Styela clava: one gene and its partner. The protein of the gene in region 1 interacts with the protein of each later gene in a pairwise test. Links are inferred from orthologs where the notes say so. Each region holds a gene or a part of one and is shown on either strand. Other genes may lie near its edges.

Region 1 (11,044 bases):
AATTCGATTCAATATCGAAAATACTTCTAATTTCGGAATTTCTTGCGTTGATTCCGAAGCAAATAAAATCTGTCTAAAATTTATATTTCCCAGTAATTCCATGAGGTCAACTTTAACAAGCCAGTAAGTCGTATCTTTAAGTTCCAAAATGTTCCCCAACAATTTTACTCCTAGATTGATGAAATCAGACCTTAGCAAAAATCCTATACAGGTTTTCACAGCTTGAATACTAGCTCGTAAACAAACAAGAGATTCGTCTTTTAATCCATCAGAAAGGAAATCAACAAGATTTTCAAGTAGTATATCATCTCGATTGTTACCTTTAAAATTTTCATGAAGCCACGAAGTGTAATTATTTTGAGACAATATTAATGACGAAGCAATGTACTGTGAAACTGCCATCACAGTGCAGCCACGTATCTGTGGATCATAAAAAGATTTGAATGATAATATATCTGATACATGACAGTTTCTATTGTCGTAAACCGACATAAACATTAATTTAGGACGTAGCTTAAAAATCAACCCAATACATGAAATAGTCAAATTCATTGCACTCACACGAACATCTTTAGTAGATTCTGATCCTATTTTCAAAATTCTCTCACTGAGTATTCGTACAAACATTTGAATTGGATCTGCTTCACAATAAAGATTCTCGAGTTTGTTGAAATAAATTTCCTCAGATGAATTACAATCCAAACTGTCAAGATTGGCTATTTCCAATTCTGTATTCTGTTCACTATCCACCTCTTCATGTGTTATGTCTGATGATGGCTCATTGATAATAGCATCAGGTTTGGCATCATTAGATTGCACAGTAGATATAGGTAGTTCATTCTGGTGTGTTGACACATCCTCGGATGAAATACCAGCTTCATTTAATTTTTCTGTTACACTTGTCATCGTGTCCTCAATTGTATTATTTTCAGAAACTGGTGTCTCTATAGTTTGAGAAGCATTCGTACCACTGCTATCAAAATCTCGGTCCTGGTTCGTGGAACTTTGCTTTTTTATTCCTTTCGATTTCAAAAATGTCACTAATGACTTTGAAAAAACTGTTTCTTTGATAGGCTTTGCTTCCAGTAACTCCTTTAGTGACGCAGATGGCAACTTCAACAAAATTTGTAAAGTCTCGAGTGAAGCTGTTACAACATTTGCTTCTTTGAAGCAAGAAAAATGCACACAAAGCTCGAAAATTTGGACAATTATATCATCGAAAACAACGTCAATTTTTGAATCTTTATCTGAACCAAAACTGCCAGTTCTTCTTGTAATTTTTGTCCCTACAATTGCAAACAGAGGTATCAAATACCGTAATATGATAAGACTTCCTAATATGAAATTGACATCAAAATTTTTTGTTGAAAATGATCCAAGTATACTAGAAACAATGTTGAATAACATAACTTGCTTTTTACTTGAGTTGCTCACAACTTCGTAAATACATATCGAAGATGTCCTTCGAATCGCTGCAGAGGGGCTCGATAAATTTTTCATCAGTGCGTCTATAAAACTTTGCAATTCTGCTTCCGCGGCAAACGACCCAATTAAAGGAAATATTTTAGAGACAGATGCAGATAAACATTCTTGTATGCTTTCGTCATTCCGTTCGCATATTTTTATAAATGGTGGAAGAAGACTAACAACATATGGCCTGCATTTGCTTGGACGAATCCTGTGTGCCAAACTGGAGAAACGTACAAGCGCAGTTCTCAAACTACGACTTGATCCGTTTCTTTTAATTTCTTTGTAAAACTCAATCAAAACTTTCCCAAAATGCAGTTCTTCTGTTCCTTTTATGATTCTATTAATAGATTCCTCAGCTGCGATTCTAACATCAGCCTCAGCATCCTGACAACACAACAATAGCATTTCAATAGTCACACCCAATAATCCAGAATATTCATTATTGCCTTTCACAGGACTGGACAGTATGCTTTCCGCCATTGTTTTACAGCATTCCTGTCTTTCTGCCTTCGTCGGCATGGGAATCTGCTCCTTTTTATTTGCATCTGTTGTCTCTCCGCCATAATACTGTTTTATATTATTCACAGATTTAACAAGTTTCTCCATTTATATAAACTCTTGTAAGAATTCCAGTCACAAAATTACTAGTACCATCTACTTTATTACTTGGAAAATGATAGTTATAAAGAATTACATTGTGAAACTGAAGAAAAAAATGATTTTATGATAAAGTGTGAAATGAGTTATCCCAGCTAACTGAGAATAGTACGGTACATAATCAAAAACAATGACAAAAGTGTTCACATAGCGCGATACCGGTACTGTAATACCTTGAAATTTACAAGTCCCGAATTTTAATTTTTGCCTATATTATTACCAGATATTAGGACTGTAGGACAGGATTTACATATTTCTCCCCGGAGAGAGGAAAGTCGATAAGACAGCTTAACCATTCCATACCCGACATGGAATGGTAGTCGGACGAGTGGCCGTGGTTCGCCATATGGTTAGAGAGAGAAAAACTTTATTTCCACAAAACAATGTTAAAAAAGGATAACAGTACATATTTTTATGAAAATACAGTGCAGTGGATATTCAAACATTAAATTGTGATGGTCAGTATGCAAGACCTTCACAGGTCACCGAGGCTCCCGACCATTTTATTTACGCTGTGATCAAACTGTCAGCATGGATTATCACGCTATGAAATTATAAAATAAAGACAGAAAAATGAAAAACGAGTCGGCTGATAAAGAAAAACTTTCTACCATTCAACACTTTACATTAGATTCATTGTATAGTTCAGAGGGCATGTGTAAAAACTCTATATATATTATACTACACTTTCATCAAGTACAATACTAATCAAGTCAACCAGAATACAAACAGTCAACTTTAGAAAAAAATTTGGCAAAATTAAAATAAAAATTGCTTTGGTATGGACAGGTGGGAGCGATACGCCCATGCGGCATGCATAGGAGTCATCAAAGTCAACTCCTACCCTATTTGCTGATGTTGCTGATTATGATGTTGGTCTGGCAAATAACACATTAATAAATTCGATATATTGTAATCCCAGAAAAACTTCACATTGGGTGAGGGCATATTTTGTTGAAAACTCATTTAAACAATAAATTCTGTGGGCTTTAGATGATGTTAAACAATAATATATACAAACATTCGATATATGAAAAGAGCAAAAATAAAGATATATAGTCTATATATACAAGCTATGCTGTATACGGTATTAGTGGATGGTGAACTCAAAAAATGTGGTAAAAATGTACCGTATCACCAGCATGACAAAAGATTAAATGCAGCTTAGTCAGTTCATGGAATTCCTAACATATTTAAGCCAGTAACCAAATATACCGGTACTACCGGTATAGTACAGTGGTTCCCAACCTTTCTACCCTGGTGGACCGGTTAAATTAAATTAAATGTACTCGAGGACCGGCAAAAATTGAAATGACCGGAACATAAAAGAATATCGCATATTTGCGTAATACAATGCAACGTCGGGCACTCAATATGCATCTAGACAAAAAGGCACACTTAAAAAAACATCAATTAACTAAAAATTTTGCTGCTGTTTAGTTTCCAATATGGGATTGCAAACGATGCCTCAAGGAAGTTTCTGCAACACGTAGCCCTGCAGCGGCGTGCAACCAATTTCCTTGCTTCGCTTTAATTAAAGCTAGTGATGAAAATATTTTCATTTAAAAGTAATAAAAATATAAGTAACTCGTTGAAAATACGGACAACAGTTTGATTGCTCGATTACTTAGCGATGGGTATTTGTTATCAAGAGATATCCAAAATTGTGACAGTGATTCTTTTTTAAATCTGGACTGTAAAGTAGAATCACAATTTGAATCAAGCTTTTTCATTGGGTTTATCATATTAATCCCTGCCATGGACCATCCCTGCATGGGATTCGAACCTGCGAACCGACGCAGAGTAATTAGAGGTGCGGTGGCGAGCGTATTCCTAACGCTTAGCCCGTTGAGCCACACCGCCGCGGTTGGGAACCAATGCTATGGTATATGTAAAACAGAACACAAGGGAAATTTCTAATTGATCACTAAGCCATCTTATCCCTTTCCTTTCCCCAGGGATACGGTAAATAGAGAAATACCGGTATGTAAATCCTATGCTTTATTGCCTACACTTAACGCTGTAACGTTAAACCATTACCGGTACCGGTCCTATTTGTTTATACCAAACGCAGTCTTACCCAATAAATTAGCCTACCCACGGGCCACGGCATGTCTGTACAGCTGTATGTTGCGCCAAACCGGTACCGTAAAACCGGCTAACTTCGGATGATTTCACTATATTTTGAACAATATCTCCGCCGCATGTTGTTCAACTGAAGCCAAATTTGGAATATAATACATTGTGGCTATTCTCGTCTTGATAAAGTCGGTTCCATATCCATCAAAGCCTTTTTTCATTGAAATTATTGTCTTTATTCGTCTATTCTAAAATTATCTAACTTCGGATGGCCACTTTTCTCTTTGCGTCAACTCGTCGTGAGAGAGAAATGTCTGCGTAAGCAATGACGCGTGACAACGTCGCTGAATAGACCTTACGCCGCCACGACCTGTCTTGCGTGTTGAATACTGACGTTTGTACGTGACGTTACTCTTGCCGCTTCGCGAAGCTTAACTATTTATTCTTGTGTCCTTTATTATAACTCGTATATATTTCACTAACTACTCCTAATTTATTGCAAAATGCTAGTTCGTTCTTTTATGATCGTTTATTTTCAATGCAATAAAAGGATTAGCAAAAAAAAAAAACGGAAGAATTGAAAGTACCTAACACTGGTGTAGGTTGAAATTGAAATGCAATATGGAACAAGTAAAGAATGAACAAAAATTAGACAATTAAAAATAAACGGATGAATCGAATGAAACACTGGCAAAAGTAAAAATTGAAATCAAAAAGCAATATGGAACAAGTAAGGTATGAACAAAAAATCGACAGTTAAAAATAAACAGATGAATTGAAGGAAACGCTGGCAAAATCAAGAATTGTAATCATTTCCACATGGGTTAGACGGGTCTTGTGGAACCAATGTGTTTCGCTGCAGCTTTCGCAACCGACCCATTCATCCTCAATTTCCGTACTTCCATTTGGTTCATTCCATAATCCACAAGCAGAGCAGGTTTCGTCTTGATTATCACTTTTCATATTTTCTGATTTTCTCAGAGCTCCCCGTTGATCGGCTCGGCAGAGGTTCCTGCCCGGTGTGACTTTCGATCCTCGCTTTCGTTTCACTTAATAAAGTCAAATGACAATAAACGGATAAAAACGGCAAAAAGAAACTTTGCCACTTTTTTTCATTTTGCGCCTCACCTGTATGTGGTCCAACCTCCTGCTGTGTGCATGTATGTAGAGTTCTACGCTCACCTGTTAAAGATATTATTATCATCTGCCGATCGTAAACAGACATATCTAATCATTATGATCGTATAGATACATGTTTCAGGCCTAACGTATTACCAATTGCTACGGTATCTATCGGTGTCGGAGGAAGTATGCAAAAACAAAAATCGACAAATTTCATATGCATTAAGCGTATGCATACCCATATTTTTAAATAAACAACATATGACTGAGACGATAGTGATGTTTTTGTAGGATTTAGTGACTAGGATCATGTATAAGCATAATTTTTAAATTTCACAAAACTGGGCGCCGCGATGTCTGGCGTTCAAATGTCGCAGCGAGTAACGCACGAGCTACGCAAAGTGACGTCGGCTACGAAGAGAGAGAACGGGATTTGCGTCGTTGACGTCACGCTGTACGTAATCATCAAAACGTCAATATTTTAATGTAATTTTTAAATCAAAATAACCGATTTCACTCGAATCTCGTACGACACCTTGTGATCACTGTATTTTTTTGTATACATTGTGTACGCTCTCTAGCGCTTGGCGGTGATTTGACGAAGGTAGCGTCTGTAGAAGTCACGATTTGAGCCGCTCGAAAAAACGGTGTCATTTTTTTGGTAAAATATGATTTTTTGAATGATAAAAAATCAAATCGAGCGATTGGAGGCTACGGCAGATTCAGATATGTAAGGCCTTACTATAGAAACCGACAGAAGCGCAATACGACGAAATTTAGTTGAGATATGAATGATTGAAAATTTCATCCGAAGTTACAAAGCATCCGAAGTTAGCCGGTTTTACGTACCGTACCGTAACGGCTTACAACTAATACCGGTATCATTTCAGTCGGCACTACTGCTGTACTGAGTAAACGCTAATCACAGAGCGATTGCGTTGTGAGTTTTCTTTACTGGTACCGGTACCGGTGAGACTTTATGATTTTCACATTTTTGAACACGTAGTGGACATAACGATCGTTTCAATATTATGTTGTTCTTGTTGTTTGACACAGAATAACACACCTAGTGGAAATATTAAAAAACCGCTTTTCTCTTCGAATACCGGTACTGGACCAATTGCTTTGAAATTTTAATTGGTTGAAGATAAAATTTTTTCCCAGAAGGCTATTACTTTTATTCATTTTAAATATTTCTGTTAGCTCTGTGATATTTGTTTTTGTTTGCCATGATGTCGGACGCCATTTTGTGTCCTACTGTACTGCTTCGCTTGGTGTGAACAATGACATTAAACAACATGATAGGCAACTCTGACGTCACTCCATAAGACTACAGGCAAAACATTGTATTTCATGATACGCTCCAATGCACATATTTCTCGTCGCCTTTCGCGTCCGTTTTCCGCTCGCTTTTGCTACTCGGCGTCTTTTTTACGTGTAGTACCTGCCTTTTTGCGCCTGTAACGAAACAAAATAATCTCTATATCTAAGAAGTTTTGCTTACTTGGAAAGCTGGAATAACAGGCAAGCTGTAAAGAGCAATTCTGGACATCATAGACGTTTTTTTTTATCAGAAAAGATTACAAACGCGATAGCGGATTATTTTCTTCAATTTCAAATGCAATTACATATTAATATTTGCATTCCACTATTATTGCAACATTTGCAAGTTACAGTATTTATTATAAAAAATCGTAAAATTCTATGTACAACCATCAAAATCATATTTGAACAAGCTTTGAATAAGGAAAGAAAAATACATACACTGAAAATAACTTAATCTAAATATATGAACCTAAAATTAACAAAAATACTACAGTATAAACTCAATGTTTTAATAATTACATTCGTCCTGGCGTTTGGCATCTTTTTTGTGTCACCAGCATACTAAGGCCAGTCTGAAATGATTTTATAGTACCAACTCTAACTAACGAGGCCACATGATCATGGGTTTATCTGGATCTTTACGAATGTTTAATTAATTCCAGTAATGCAAAAAAGTTACTTTTATCATTTCATGTATAGATCAGTAAAAAAACAAATGACAGATTTTTCCGACAAGACATTTCGCACTACATTGCGTGGCATAGGATTGCTTGAATTATTATTGATTTTGATTTTTAGTAACTAAGTCGTTGTATAATTATATTAATATACAAACACATGGAAATTTTCTGTTCGAAGTTGGTCTTCGAATTTGTCATATTGACTGCTGAGCTTATTGTGTTTTTTGATTGTATTGATGGAAATATGACAAATTAAACAATGTGCTTCAGAATTTTGTGAAGAGCAGAAATGTTACAACTCCCATTTTCTTCGAAAATGCCACCTTCTTCGTGTACTTTGCGTTTAATTTAATTACTCAAGTGTTTTATTCAAGTATTCTTTTGCTAGCTTGATGTGTATTCTTAATTGGGTCAAAATGTGGACAAAAAAAATTAATATTCCAAAACTACTTTCAGTAAATTGTTTTCTGTGTGAATAATCAATTTCACTTTAGAAGGTTTGAAAATTCTATTACATTTAGATAAAAAAAAAACTTCCAAAATACTATTACAATTATTGTTAAGCGTTCGAGGGCCGCACTGGAAGTTCTCTGGGGCCGCGAGTTTGAGATCCCTGGTCTAGATTGAAGTTGTTCAAAAAATATATTATAGTATTTTATCATGAATGATGATTATACCCCTTTCGGAATTTCTTCTATAGTACTACCAAAAGTTGATGAACCAAATATAACACAGGTGCAGTGAGGTACCCGTAATCCTCATTTCCAAAGCTGTTTTAAGTATGTCTGGCGTGTTTTGTGCCTTTTTACAAATAAGACCGCTTATGCAATCTTACGCTTTGGAATTTTTAGTTATTTTCCTAAAGCCCTGCAGGATGTGGGGGCCATACACAACTCTACCGGAGGGTCAAATGTCTTTGCATGCCTCCATAGGTTGTTTTTCTATTGCAATTTTCTATTTTCAATTGCATTATATTTCTTGGAATCACACTGTCACTGATATGTCGCCAGACTTCTGATATCTCCACGTCTGCTATAGTTGTCCTGTGAATAAATAATAGGAAATTGAGATTAGACGAATAGTTGAAAGTTTTGCTTTATGTCGGCTTAATTTCTTGATTGATATACTTACTATTTCTGCTATTGCCTCTTGTGCTGCAAGAGTCTCACAATGCTTAGACAGGTTTGTCCACAACTTTCACATCTGAAGAAAAAGAGGAGATTTATTAATTTTCGTTAAGAATAAATAAAGCAGTCTATATGATTCAGAATGGAAAAGCTAATAAATCCAATATCTCATGTTTTATTTAAAAAATATTTTACTGAATTTTGGAAAATAAACCAACTAATAAAAGGGTTTAGTCAGAAAATTACAAGCATTCGTGGCTCCAAATACTTGAGAAATCAGACTATACAATATAGACCGGTATGAGTGACATGTTAGGTGAACTTGTTAACACTTTGATTAAATACGCAAATAAAAGTGAATGCGTAATAGTATGTTACAATGAGCAGCAATCAACAATGAGTATATATCCTCACTGATTAAAAAAAATCTAACTGGAGGTGCATGAACTATTTGAAACCATAAGGAGTAAGTAAATATGTAATTTCGGCAAATGGGCAACTACGTACCGTACTGAATTAATAACTTCGTAGTATTTGACAAAGGCTGGCTTTCCCACATGTACTTAACAGTGCGATGCCCGGGTGTGATATACAACAATAGTATTCACCTTACCTTTTACCGATTTCTTTTTACCCCAACTTTCAAAAATATCATTAAAATCGACAACAACTGTCAAAGCAGGCACGAACACCATTCGTGCTACGCCTTGAAAGCAGCACACATCCGCTCGTTTTCGTCTCGTCAAGTATGTGCATTGGAGCGTGCTATCGAATACGATCTTCGGACAAAAATGCCGGAGTTGCGCATCATGTTGTTTAATGTCATTGGTGTGAATATATTTGTAGACTGTGATTTGACGGTACGGTAAACTGTACTGTACTGCGAAGGTACCGGTACCGAACTGGTCGCCGGTAACTGGTCGCAAGGTACTGCACATTTGTGAAGAGTCATATTGTTTATTGCAATATTTTTTAGTTTATAAAAATCCAATAAAAAAATAAAAAAGAAGAGTCAGCTTCAACAATGGCTACCGGTACTGAATAATTGGCGACGAAAAGCGTTTATCCCAGGGCACTAGGAAAAAGAAAGAACGAAAATGTGGCTTTATCATACGGATAAGTGAACAACAGCCTTACTTCCGGTTACATGACCCATGTCCGGTATGAGGACAGTTGAAATTTAATTCGAATGAAATTAATTAAAAGTACAGGTATGTTATCTACACGGAAAGTTCGGAAAGCACTGCTCTAGCTGGAGTAACAAATAGACTTCATATTTGCAAGTGGAATTTCGACAGAAGAATAGGGCACAGGTAGTGTTTCAATGGGCACTGGTCTCTGACCAAGACGGAATCTTAATTGCAAATACCAAATTACATATTATGTAATATTTTGATTGATAAGTTTTGTCCTAAAAACACCACGCACTAAATGTTAATTCTAAAAATGTTTTTGTATTTTACGTAATGCTAATAGATGTTACCCCGGTTTTTGTCCCCAGAATATTTCCTACATATGTATATACTTTACTAGTTTACTTATGCGAAATTTTTATGCCTATCATCAAATAATTTTTATTTTCAATACTAAGAATTTTCAACCACCACCATTAAAATGTACCTGCAGCTATATGTCATCTTTTTCTGGCATTTTAACAGCAAACTAAAATTGACTAAGATACAAAATGACCACCGCTAGTTAGATTTACACTTACAATTTGAGTCACAAAAATAGAACTGAAAAATATTTAACAATATCACTTATGAACACACATATCCATCTGTTCTATAACAACCTTATTTATTACCATGCATCATTCTGGTTTGGGCGACTTTATCTGATCTCGAACCACATTGCCAATAAGAAAAAGTTAACATTCTTAAATAGCGTATGGATCATAATAAGTTCAAAAACTATACAGATAAGAAATTATTTAGCAACATCTTTCCTAACACACATATATAAAAATTCTCGGAAGAGATGAGGTTCGAAATTTTCGAAAACATGTTTTTTTTATTCAACTGTCTGAAATATATATCCTTCTTTTGGAAAACCATAACGAACTTACAGCTCTAAAAAAACAGTTTTATAACAGTTACGGTTTATAAAGATGGTGTAGGCGAGAATTTAAACATTTCGTTACCTATATTTGGAATAATGTGCTGTAACAGCCTCTTGTTGGCTTGGCCTTACCTGGCGTGACCTTCTATGTTTGTTGACCTACAACTTGAAACAGAAGGCCTGTAAAGTACAACAACATTGAGAATTGAAAAGTGAAGGTTGAATTAGGATAATTCTCGTCGTATATATTATAACGTTAGATTATTCTAACAATAGAAGATGAATGAACAGGCCCGAAGAAGTTTGCTTCATATCTGTATTCTCCATGCAGTCTAGTTATACGTTGTATGCAATATTTTTCTTCCTTTTTTTTGTCTCCTATAATAAATATAAATTCTTAGAGTTACGGTAGGCTTTCAAGTGCAAACGGGATCAGATAGTTTCACAATTTGACATTCAAAACTTGGTTTTCGTGCAACAACTTGTCTTTGTGAGACTTTGTGATTCAGTGCATTGTGAAAT
Region 2 (11,257 bases), on another chromosome or scaffold:
ATATGTGTAACGTCTTTTCCAGCTGAAGTTGACAAGCTAATATTAAATCTCGTTAATTTATTTTTTTCCGAAATGATCGATGTCATTTAATTGCATAATATAGTTTATTTCCAAAAATCTCATTTGGTGTTCCGTCACAATTTTAGAATAAAAAAAGTGTTCCGCGATACAAAAAAGGTTGAAAATCACTGGTGTACGAGGTTAGGGATCAGGTTGTGCGACATCTTGGTGCGCATACTTCAGTAGTACCAATATTTCAATTTCAACGAAGTTTAAATTAAATTTCAATCAAAATTAAATGTTTTCTAGAAGTCGGTATCTGATCGTTTATCAAATCATGTCAAGGCGTACCATAACTTAGTCGCAGAGAAGGTGTGCTGTTGCATATTTTTAACAAAATTGCAACGAACTTTCGGGTATACGACCCATTTAAATTTGCGTGTGATAGAAACTTAGGTCAGTCACTCAACTGACAGATTGAAGGAAATTAATTACCCACACAGCACGTCAGCATCTCGAGTGATGATCAGGGTGTGTTGCGCTGAACATGAAAATGAATGAAGGCAGATCAATAAAAGTAAATAACGAAAAATTCATTTATACATTCCCGTCTGGCAATTGGTGTTATTTGGAGTGTTTGTTTTTCTTCGCTAAACGGCTCTCTTTCTTTCGAATCGCGTAAATCAGATTCGAAAAAAATTGCGATTTGAATCGATTCAATTCATAAATCTAAAAGGGGCATGCCTACTCATCAGTCCGCTTTCAGGGTCTTCATCCAATCTCACTTCCGTCGGGATATGTTTTGGCTATTTAACTCTCCCAATGTTCGGTATTTTAGTGACTTCAACCGCCTCAAAATTGATAGGACAAAATATCATCTAACCCTAACGTACTTCTTCCTTATAGTGATTAGATTTTTAGTGACCTCAGCCACCTCACCACCCGTCGGAAGAAATTCCATCCACTTCTTTCTGTTAGTGTTCAGCTTTTCAGTGACCTCCGCCACCTCATTATCCGTCGGAAGAAATTTCATCCATTTCTTCCTTTTAGTGTTCAGCTTATTAGTGACTTCAACCACCTCATTATTCGCCGGAAGAAATTTCATCAACTTCTTCCTTTTACTGTTCAGCTTTTTAGTGACTTCAACCACCTCATTATTCGTCGGAAGAAATTTCATCAACTTCTTCCTTTTAGTGTTCAGCTTTTTAGTGACTTCAACCACCTCATTATTCGTCGGAAGAAATTTCATCCACTTCTTCTTTTTAGTGTTCAGCTTTTTAGTGACTTCAACCACCTCATTATTCGTCGGAAGAAATTTCATCAACTTCTTCCTTTTAGTGTTCAGCTTTTTAGTGACTTCAACCACCTCATTATTCGTCGGAAGAAATTTCATCAACTTCTTCCTTTTAGTGTTCAGCTTTTTAGTGACTTCAACCACCTCATTATTCGTCGGAAGAAATTTCATCAACTTCTTCCTTTTAGTGTTCAGCTTTTTAGTGACTTCAACCAGTGACTTCGACCACCTCATTATTCGTCGGAAAAAATTTCATCCACTTCTTCCTTTTAGTGTTCAGCTTTTTAGTGACGTCAATCACCTTATTATTCGTCGGAAAAAATTTCATCCACTTCTTCCTTTTAGTGTTCAGCTTTTTAGTGACTTCAACCACCTCATTATTCGTCGGAAGAAATTTCATCCACTTCTTCTTTTTAGTGTTCAGCTTTTTAGTGACTTCAACCACCTCATTATTCGTCGGAAGAAATTTCATCCACTTCTTCCTTTTAGTGTTCAGCTTTTTAGTGACTTCAACCACCTCATTATTCGTCGGAAAATATTTCATCCACCTCTTCCTTTTAGTGTTCAGCTTTTTAGTGACTTCAGCCACCTAACTACCCGTCGGAAGAAATTTCATCCACTTCTTCCTTTTAGTGTTCAGCTTTTTAGTGACTTCAACCACCTCATTATTCGTCGGAAGAAATTTCATCCACTTCTTCTTTTTAGTGTTCAGCTTTTTAGTGACTTCAACCACCTCATTATTCGTCGGAAGAAATTTCATCCACTTCTTCCTTTTAGTGTTCAGCTTTTTAGTGACTTCAACCACCTCATTATTCGTCGGAAAATATTTCATCCACCTCTTCCTTTTAGTGTTCAGCTTTTTAGTGACTTCAGCCACCTAACTACCCGTCGGAAGAAATTTCATCCACTTCTTCCTTTTAGTGTTCAGCCTTTTAGTGTTTTTTAATTTTTCACCTTTGGGAACACTTCAACTTCCGTTTTCCCTCCACTTCATCCGTTTCTTCCTTCAGCCTTTTAGTGCTGTCCTTACTGCCTTAGTCTTAACTGTATACCGGTATCTGTAAGTGCTTCATGTTATATGTCAAGCTCAAAACAACATAATACCAACCAAGGATTATAAGACTTGCTGAAAAGAAGTTTCTCATTGATGTAAACTTTGATTAAATATCTATGACCCACCATAATAAAAGTATAATTTTGACCCATCCAGTAAAAAAGGTTTGCCATCCCTGATATAGACTAACATTGCCAATATTGCTGTATTATCTAATTTGCCAATGTTACATACTTATTTCTGGTCGAAAATACTCTTGCCACCGCACCTCTGCACCGCACCACTTATATATGAGGGCTACTTGTATATTTGCAAAAACTGCCTTTTATTTGTCAGGCTGATTTATTGCTGCTCAAAATAATAGTCATCGTTTACCTATTTAAATATTGGGTTTAAGTTTTTAATAGGCCACAGTTGTTGTCTTGTTTGAAAGGCTTACTAATAATAGTTATTCAACCTAAATTGTATTTATATATATGACTATCGATCGTATGTTTACCAAAATTGTTTCTTAATTGGGGTATATAATATTTTTTCAGTCACCTATTTGCCATAAATTTTTCTTGTTACTTATCGATTTTAATCGGTAAGTATGTTGATAGGTATTTGTCTGTCTGTCTGTTAGATGCACGCGATATCTCACGAAAACGAGATCGAATCTGCTCCAGATTTTTCATGTGCATTCATCATATCTCGGACCAGAAGCCTATTGATTTTGGGCGAAGTATATCGTATAATTAGCGAGTTATTAATCAATAGTGATGGGACACAAGTTGTCACTATGGAGTAAGAGCGTTTTTTTGGGGGATCCCCTGACTTTTGATCGATAAGTCCTCGGTCTCTGACCGATATTCTCGTTGGAAGGTTGATTCCTCTCTTGAACCAATTGTTTTACATGAGTACCATGTTGTTTATCTCCTGAAATTCATTCGTACATGTAAGGCTGGCTCCTTGCGTCCAAATCTACATTGAGTATAGTAGTCCAATAGCCAAAATTGTTTTTTTTAATTTGTGGGTCTTACTCCTCACTTTCAAATCTCATCATTTAAAAATTGATTTCACGGAAAAAAAATTAATTACTTTTATTTACTTCATTTTTTTGTTTGTTTTTTCAAATTTTGTGTCGTGAACTTCAACCATTTCTAATAATCTTATTTTACTGTGAATTTATCAGCGTAAACTTGGAGGGGGCTGACTTCGATGACCGCATGGTCGTATCGCTCCTTCCAGTCTACACCGAAAAAAGCGTACTTTTTTATAGCCACTATTTATTTATTATTATGACTGTTTTTTTCTGGTTGACGAAATAAATCTCTCTCTCTCTCTCTCTCTCTCTCTCTGACCCTTGATTGTCGCCGTAGGATGACTCACATAACTGCTGATTGTTACGGCTACCTCGGGTCTGGTGGTGACTAATCACAGTGTTAGTGATTCTTCACCTATAATATTTCCCACAACGTTCAATCATCCAATGTGTTGATACGTTTAGCAGTGTGACGGCTAGCATTGCCTTGTTTACTACATGGTATGCTTATTATACTTTGTTTACTGCTGTACTGCATTGCTATGGATGTTTAAAGGGGTAACAAACGAAAAATTACGAGTTATGTTTATTTAATTTATGAATTCATTCATAATTCATGAATTATTTTAATCAAATTTCTATAATGACAGATCATACTTGAAATCAGGATAACAAATGCATTTCAAGGGCATAAGAGCGATTTCTAGATCACTTCAAAAAAATGAAACATCAAAAAGTGATATATTCAAATCATCATTAACTAGAATAGATGAAACTAAGCATCTCAATGCTTTCATCACAGTTGCAAGAAAGGCTGGTAACAATGAGGTCACCAATCAAAAAAATCACATACTGACCGGAACTACATTCTCACTGAAGGATAATTATTCTTCCGAAGGTATACTCACGACATGTGGATCTAAAATGTTGGCAAATTATAAACCAACATACAATGCTACTGTACTTAATAAATTATTAAACCATGGCTCACAACTCATTGGAAAAAACAACATGGATGAATTTGCCATGGGGTCGGGATCTATAGAATCTATCTACGGTCCTGTGAAAAATCCTTGGTCACCTGACGTATTATTGAATCCGTCTAGCAAAGATTGGAGAGTTGCTGGGGGCAGTTCAGGTGGGGGTGCTGTGGCAGTCGCAACTGGATGTTGCCATTTTGCTCTGGGATCGGACACCGGCGGTTCTGTGAGAAATCCAGCTTCTTATTGTGGGGTTGTTGGTTTAAAACCTACTTATGGATTAATATCTCGTCATGGTTTAATTCCTCTTGTTAATTCAATGGATTGTCCTTCCATTTTTGCAAGATCAGTAGAGGATGCTGCTATTGTTTTAGATACATTAAAAGGGAGAGATATCATGGACTCCACTTCAATAGAAAGCAAGAAATTGAAAATATGCTTAAATGAAAATTATGATATTTCTGTCAAAGGATTAAAAGTTGGTATACCAAAGGAATGCCTAGTTCATGGCATGTCTCAGGAGGTTGTAGATATGTGGCGATGGGCAGCGGACCAGTTTGAAAATGCTGGTGCTGAAGTAACACTTGTGAGCTTGCCCCATATGAAATATTCAATAATTTGCTATCATATCCTCGGTAATGTGGAAGTTGCCTCAAATATGGCAAGATTTGATGGTCTTAAGTATGGACATAGGTCGTCTATAAATGAATCTACATATGCAATGTACGCAGTTTCTCGGAGAGAGGGATTCAATGATACTGTGCGAAGTAGAATTCTTAGTGGAAATTATTTTCTTTTAAAAGATAATATAGAAAAGTATTTTTATAAAGCGCAAAAAGTGCGGAGACTTATATTAAAAGATTACCAGAAAGTTTTTGGAGCACATAACTTGTATACAAGTTGTGATAGTGATGATTCTAATTCATCTGGTATTTGCGATGTTCTCCTTGCCCCCACTGTAATTTCTGATGCGCCATTATACTCTGAATTTATAACGGAGGACAATAGGACGCGATCAGCTGAGCAAGATGTATTAACTCAAGCTGCAAATATCGCTGGTGTTCCTGCCATAAATATACCCACTCGATTATCTAGAAATAATATGCCCATTGGACTCCAAATTACTGGTAGACACTTTAGTGAGCCAAAAATTTTGAAAGCCGCTGCTTTTCTTGAGAAAGTAGCACAGTTCCCTAATTTGGAACAACATTTTACAACACAACTTGACTCTTCCAATGCTAGTAAACCTATTTTACAACAGATGTCTTGAAGTGTTCCCTTTAATATATTTGTTTCAAAGCAGTTTCTGATTTGTCATTAGTAATATCATGGAAAGTGTGTTCGTTGGGAGTAGAGTGGTCTTGAAAATTAATTGAGATGGGGTGATAACGTGATATTGTCGAAACTTGTGTCTGGAGTATTCTTTGGCAACCTATGGTATTTTCTATTTCTGAGAGCCTTTTATTACTATCAATGCATTGAAGTTGACTATTAATAATAATATTGTGTTATTGACCAATTTAAAATTGTTTTCTACCTATTTAAAATAATGAGGTTCAAGACAACTTATTCGATTAGTTGCAAGTATTCGAAAAAGCTCATTTTTAATTACCTACTCGCAACTGAAAATAAGGGCCATTTAGTTAGGTTCTCATTGAGGGGTATTGATATTTACTTGTCATAGTCAATTTTATTTTTCCCATCCATCAAAAAATTGGCTCTTGTGCCAATGTGATATTATCGATGGTATTACTATTTCAAAATTTTGACACTGATTTATTAACAAAATTGCCAATAAGCAATTGCGGTAAAATTTGGATAGGGTGTCTCTTCTGTTTTTTGTTTTTTGCACACAAGAAGGATTGAGAATGTGGGCTGAAAGAGAGTCTAATAGATCTTTGAGTCTGACAGTTTGGTAACAGAAAAAAGGTTGGAAACCACTGTTCCAAACTATTAGTCTTTTTTGTTGATGAGGTTCTTTTTGTAATTGACTTATTAAGTTTTTTGTAATTGACTTTTTGCATTATGCGGTTTATGAAAATATTGTTAAAAGTCCGAGTTTATCGCACATAATTGAACCACACTTTTTCATTTTTCAGTAGATAATTTTCTTTAGTGATTATCTTGAAGCAAACTATATTTCATAGAAGTTTAATAAAGATCCAAACTTAGGAATGAGCAGCATAGCTGTTATGAGGATTAAGAGAGAGCTCAAAGACGCTGAAGATGAGGTATGCCAATCATGATTTAAGTAGAAGCAGTAGAGGGGATAATTAATACCAATAACTGTCAACCATTTATTTACCATATTATTAAAATTCAAAATTTAGAAAAATGATAAGATGATTGGTAGCTGGAACCACTAAAATTTCTGGTAGGTCAGGCTCTACTTCCATCTAACATGGTAAGCTCGGCTCCTCCAGTACTGGTTCCAAATCTTTCAAATTTGATCGATATTTTGTTTTAATAAGATAAGTTAGTGTCGAAAAATATTTCACCACATCCTCTATTGAGCCCTTTCACGACCCGCCGTTGGCTGGGACTCCCAGTTAGAAATGAATGTTTTCTAACATACATGCTATTTTGTGAGAAGAGAATATGTTACTCTCAGTAGAGGTGTGCGAGACTAACTCCCAATCCTTTCTCAATGCCTTTACGCTAGTGGATTCGTATGCGTGTAACGCAAGGATGCTGTAGCATGAATAAAATACCATAATATGTTATTCACTTTTTGGATATTAGTACCAATATTCAATAAGCATTCAATGCATTTTGAACTCTAATATTTACAGCCCTTGATATAAACTGTTATCTGTGTTACAGAAAGATTTGTTTATAACGATCACTTGTGAAAGTAAACTGACAGAATTGAGAGGACAGATAAAAGGCCCACCAGGAACACCTTATGCTGGTATACCCAATTGTTATGTCTATTTTCTAGAGTGCATTGATAAAAATAAATTGCCTATTCGTATGTTTCGTTTTTACATACCAGTAGCTGCCACAAAATAATTGACACAGTTACCTATTCGTATTATATCTCCACTTTTCAGAAGTGGAATTTGCTTTGATATAAATGTAACTCTACAATTAGGGCCCTTCTTTGTAGTTGAAAACACTAGCAAAATGTTGAGATAGTCCTTTGTCAAATTTAGATTATCAATCACATGCTTTATTTAAGCATCAGTAATATTTCTTATTGGAGACACTCACAAATAGTGTCCTTATTTCAATTTTCTTGTTAATTTCTGCCACAATGGCTAATCAGTGAAACGATCTCATAGAAGCTGCATTAGATGTGGCTTATTTCGCAAAATAAATCCAAAAATGAGCATGAAAAATTTGTCAATGAGAAAGTAGCCTATAGAAAGAAATTTTTGGGTTAAAAGTCTGAGAAACATCTAATACTTAGTTCTTTGAAGGCGTTATTCTGATTGCTCCTCAATGCCAAGGCAGTTTTAGTATCTTGTAGTTGTAGACTTTTTTGTTCATGTTGTATTTCATAAATTGTATAGCTTATCTAATTTAGATTGTTTTTTTAAGGTGGAACTTATGATTTGGATATCAAAATTCCAGACACATATCCATTCAATCCACCGAAGATAAAATTTCTAACACAGATTTGGCATCCAAACATTAGTTCTGTGACTGGAGCAATATGTCTCGATATCTTGAAAGATCAGTGGTACGTAGAATGTAAAACATGCTCAAATGATAAAAATAAAAGTTGTAGTTAGACAATAAAAGTCTGGGTCATCAGGGATAGTGAAGAAAAATTCGCAATATTTTCCCAATTGAATAGAGGATGGATGGAAGAGGACCCATCACAGGATAACCGATATGACGACTTTTTCATATGGTAAATCACGTCGGCGCTCCAGAAGTGTGTGTACCAATATGGAGGTAACTAGTTTAGTACGCCCACTTAACATCAAGTTGTGTAAAGGGACTGAAGCCTATAAGCAGGGGGTAAATTCATTTGACTAACACGGACAGTCCCAGTACTCATAATAGAACTAAAATAAGGAAAATCGGAATAAAATTATGGCCTCACTCACCTTAACCTGGTACACACGCTACAGGAGTACCAATCACGTCAGCAAGCAGCAGTCCAGCAATCCTCCAGCACATAATTACCGGTATCCCCTACAGGATCCGAAACTGTGAATGAACCCATGCAAGAGGTTCGATGGCGAGCCTATTCCCAACACTTCGCAAGATGCGCGACTCTGCCGAGCGAACTACAGCGAAATACTCAGCTACTTTGCCGATAGTATATGCATGCAGATAAAGCAGAATAATAATATCCTGTGAATTTTATATTACAGGGCGGCTGCACTTACATTACGAACAGTTTTATTATCCTTACAAGCTTTACTGCAGGCTGCAGAACCAGATGATCCACAAGATGCGGTAGTTGCAAAACAGTTTAAAGATAATCGACATATTTTTAATAAAACAGCATTATATTGGGCGCAACATTTCGCAAAAGGTAAGTTGGTTTATTTGAGCGCAATTTGCAACCAACTCTATCAATTATTCGTTTTCGTTTACACTTTCGTGTATCTTCGTGAATCGATGCGAAGCAAATATAATACTCAATAGCTGATGAATAAACTGAACACATAATGAAATTTAAAAATCTATGACATGGTCATGTTTAACTAAGAACGCATGGAGTAAATAGCTTTCAATGAGGTTGTATTCGTTAATGCAGGAATTATTTGAATGATTCTTACTATTTTTGCAGTTGTTGTGTTTTGTTATGCTGTTAGCCTTCAATTGCTCGACATGGTAATTTTGCCAAATAAAATTATTCCTAAAGTTAAAAGAAGTTTATTGAAGTATCAAATATGGCTAATTTTAATTTTCTGTATTTAGCACGCACCTGCTTCGCAATCAAATATTTTGTTAAACCACAATCACAAATATCACTTGGCTTATTACCTAACCTTTTCTTTTCAAAATACTCTCATCTATCAGTATTCTGAAAAAGCCTGCAAAAAAGATATCTGCTTATACTAAATCAAAGTCAATTACCTAGGACTATTATGAATATTCCATTTACTTTTATTGTAGCACCAGGGAAAAAAGAGGAAAGTTTTGAAAAACAAATACGTACAATCACGGAAATGGGTTTCTTTCAGGTAAGATTCATTTTCATTATTAATTATGTTTTTCGACCCTAATGGAGTCAATGATGGAAAAGGGGTTATTCATGTGCAATTTTTAGCTTCTTGTAATATTGCTAGCCCAAGTATTTCGACTCCATAACCATAATCACGAAACAATAAATAAAACTGATTACAGAATCAAGGGAGAAAAGTATGATCATATCTAATCAGGTAACTGGTAATTTGTTCCTCTCAGCTGTCTCTTATATTAGGTGAATTAGTGATATTGAATGATACCACTGAGATATCCATATGCAGATGGTTGTTCAATGTCATCTACTTCTGAAATCGGCAAACAAGGTGTCACTGACACAACGACTTTGGTAGTCTTCCGTCTGCTTGCGACTCCCGTCAACTGCGGAAAAAATATCTTTTTATTTAAATTGATCGTTTATTATTATATATTTTTAATTGTGTCGTCACAATTTTTCATGCACAACGAAATAAATATCTGAATCTACCAGTCGCCACCAAATTCTTGATCATTCCCAGCTACTGTGCAGTGATATTAATCTTATCATATTTTTCAACATTTTTTTAGAGTGATGCATTGCAAGCACTTTCTGCTCATAATTGGAATATGGAATCAGCAATACAGTATTTAACAAGTTGATTTTTGATTATTATATTTATAAAAAGTTTTTTACGGTATAACTTGATTCATGTTCCAAGACATTTTCCCTTCTACGACAAATGTGTGCCACTGTTTCAAAGCATTGTGGCTATAAGACACTTCTGCAGTCTTTGTTATCATTGGATAACATTTTATGAGGTCACAGTTCTAATATAAAAATTTCAAATTTCTGTTGAAAGAGATACGTTTGAAAGTTGAAAGATGATTTTTGAGTGGTATCTTCAGTTGGTCACTCCACCCTAATATGCATTAAAACATAGTTTCAGACAATACACATGATGTTATGACTCAGATTTTGTTTGTCTTGAGTTACGTTTGAGTGCAGGCTTGTGAATTCAATGTGAGAACATGATGTGATGTCATCGACTGAAAATGGAGTATTCAATAGAGTTTTGGTCCGGCATTTCCTCTACTGCTCATATTTTTTTGGAGTGTTTCATTCATGCATTAATATGGAGCTATATGATAATGAAAAATCGGACCTCCAGAAGTATGCGCACCAAGATGGCGCACAACCTGAACATAGTATGTGTGTACCGGTTGGGATTCAAACTTCTGAAGAACCGAAAAATCAATTATTATTAGAAAACTAATTGTTCAAAAAACTTGCATTTATCATGACTGACCAGGTCATATTATTTCTGCTTGGTTATCCTAGACATTGATTAATTTGAAAGACTGGGCAATCGCATGCTATATAAATTGAGTCAATTCTATATCAAGCCAATGCTTCCAATATAGTTTCACATATGTATATTTTTTTTCACTTCGCAGGCTTCAAAAACTTATATTTCTATCATATGAGCGATTTTTCTGCTGCGCGGATAGTAGGCTATATTGAATTTATTACCAGTTAAAATAGCAAGCTCCTGTTTATGTAAGAAACAAGGGATTTTCAATTATTGGTATTTGTCTGCTTCACAGCATCTATTGAATGACTCTTACCGTTCAACATTTCTATCCTTGCCTTTTGTTTAGTTTAGTCCATTATGTGGAATATACCAAATTTGAACAGTTCGCCAATTATTTTCATAAACTTGCTGCAACATCTATTCATTGTCTGTGCTTCAGCATCGAGAACAATTGCTATACTATTT

What was found. The genes of interacting proteins can lie anywhere in the genome.
Region 2: the proteins of huntingtin-like (region 1) and ubiquitin-conjugating enzyme E2 K-like interact in binary tests that used the Homo sapiens proteins (3 or more experiments, as listed by UniProt). The link is inferred for Styela clava from reciprocal best matches to the Homo sapiens genes HTT and UBE2K.

Annotation. Positions count from the first base shown.
Region 1 is NC_135250.1:24,312,431-24,323,474, forward strand, and holds the start of huntingtin-like, read right to left. Parts: upstream 5,476-11,044; 5' UTR 5,335-5,475; exon of another isoform or gene 5,256-5,334; 5' UTR 2,077-5,255; coding exon 1-2,076.
Region 2 is NC_135262.1:10,412,423-10,423,679, reverse strand, and holds the start of ubiquitin-conjugating enzyme E2 K-like, read left to right. Parts: upstream 1-6,393; 5' UTR 6,394-6,526; coding exon 6,527-6,583; intron 6,584-7,175; coding exon 7,176-7,263; intron 7,264-7,895; coding exon 7,896-8,037; intron 8,038-8,680; coding exon 8,681-8,844; intron 8,845-9,431; coding exon 9,432-9,499; intron 9,500-9,667; exon of another isoform or gene 9,668-9,881; intron 9,882-10,067; coding exon 10,068-10,139; 3' UTR 10,140-11,257. Other genes in the region: glutamyl-tRNA(Gln) amidotransferase subunit A, mitochondrial-like, read left to right, coding at 4,048-5,622. UniProt on the Homo sapiens protein: Accepts ubiquitin from the E1 complex and catalyzes its covalent attachment to other proteins. In vitro, in the presence or in the absence of BRCA1-BARD1 E3 ubiquitin-protein ligase complex, catalyzes the synthesis of 'Lys-48'-linked polyubiquitin chains.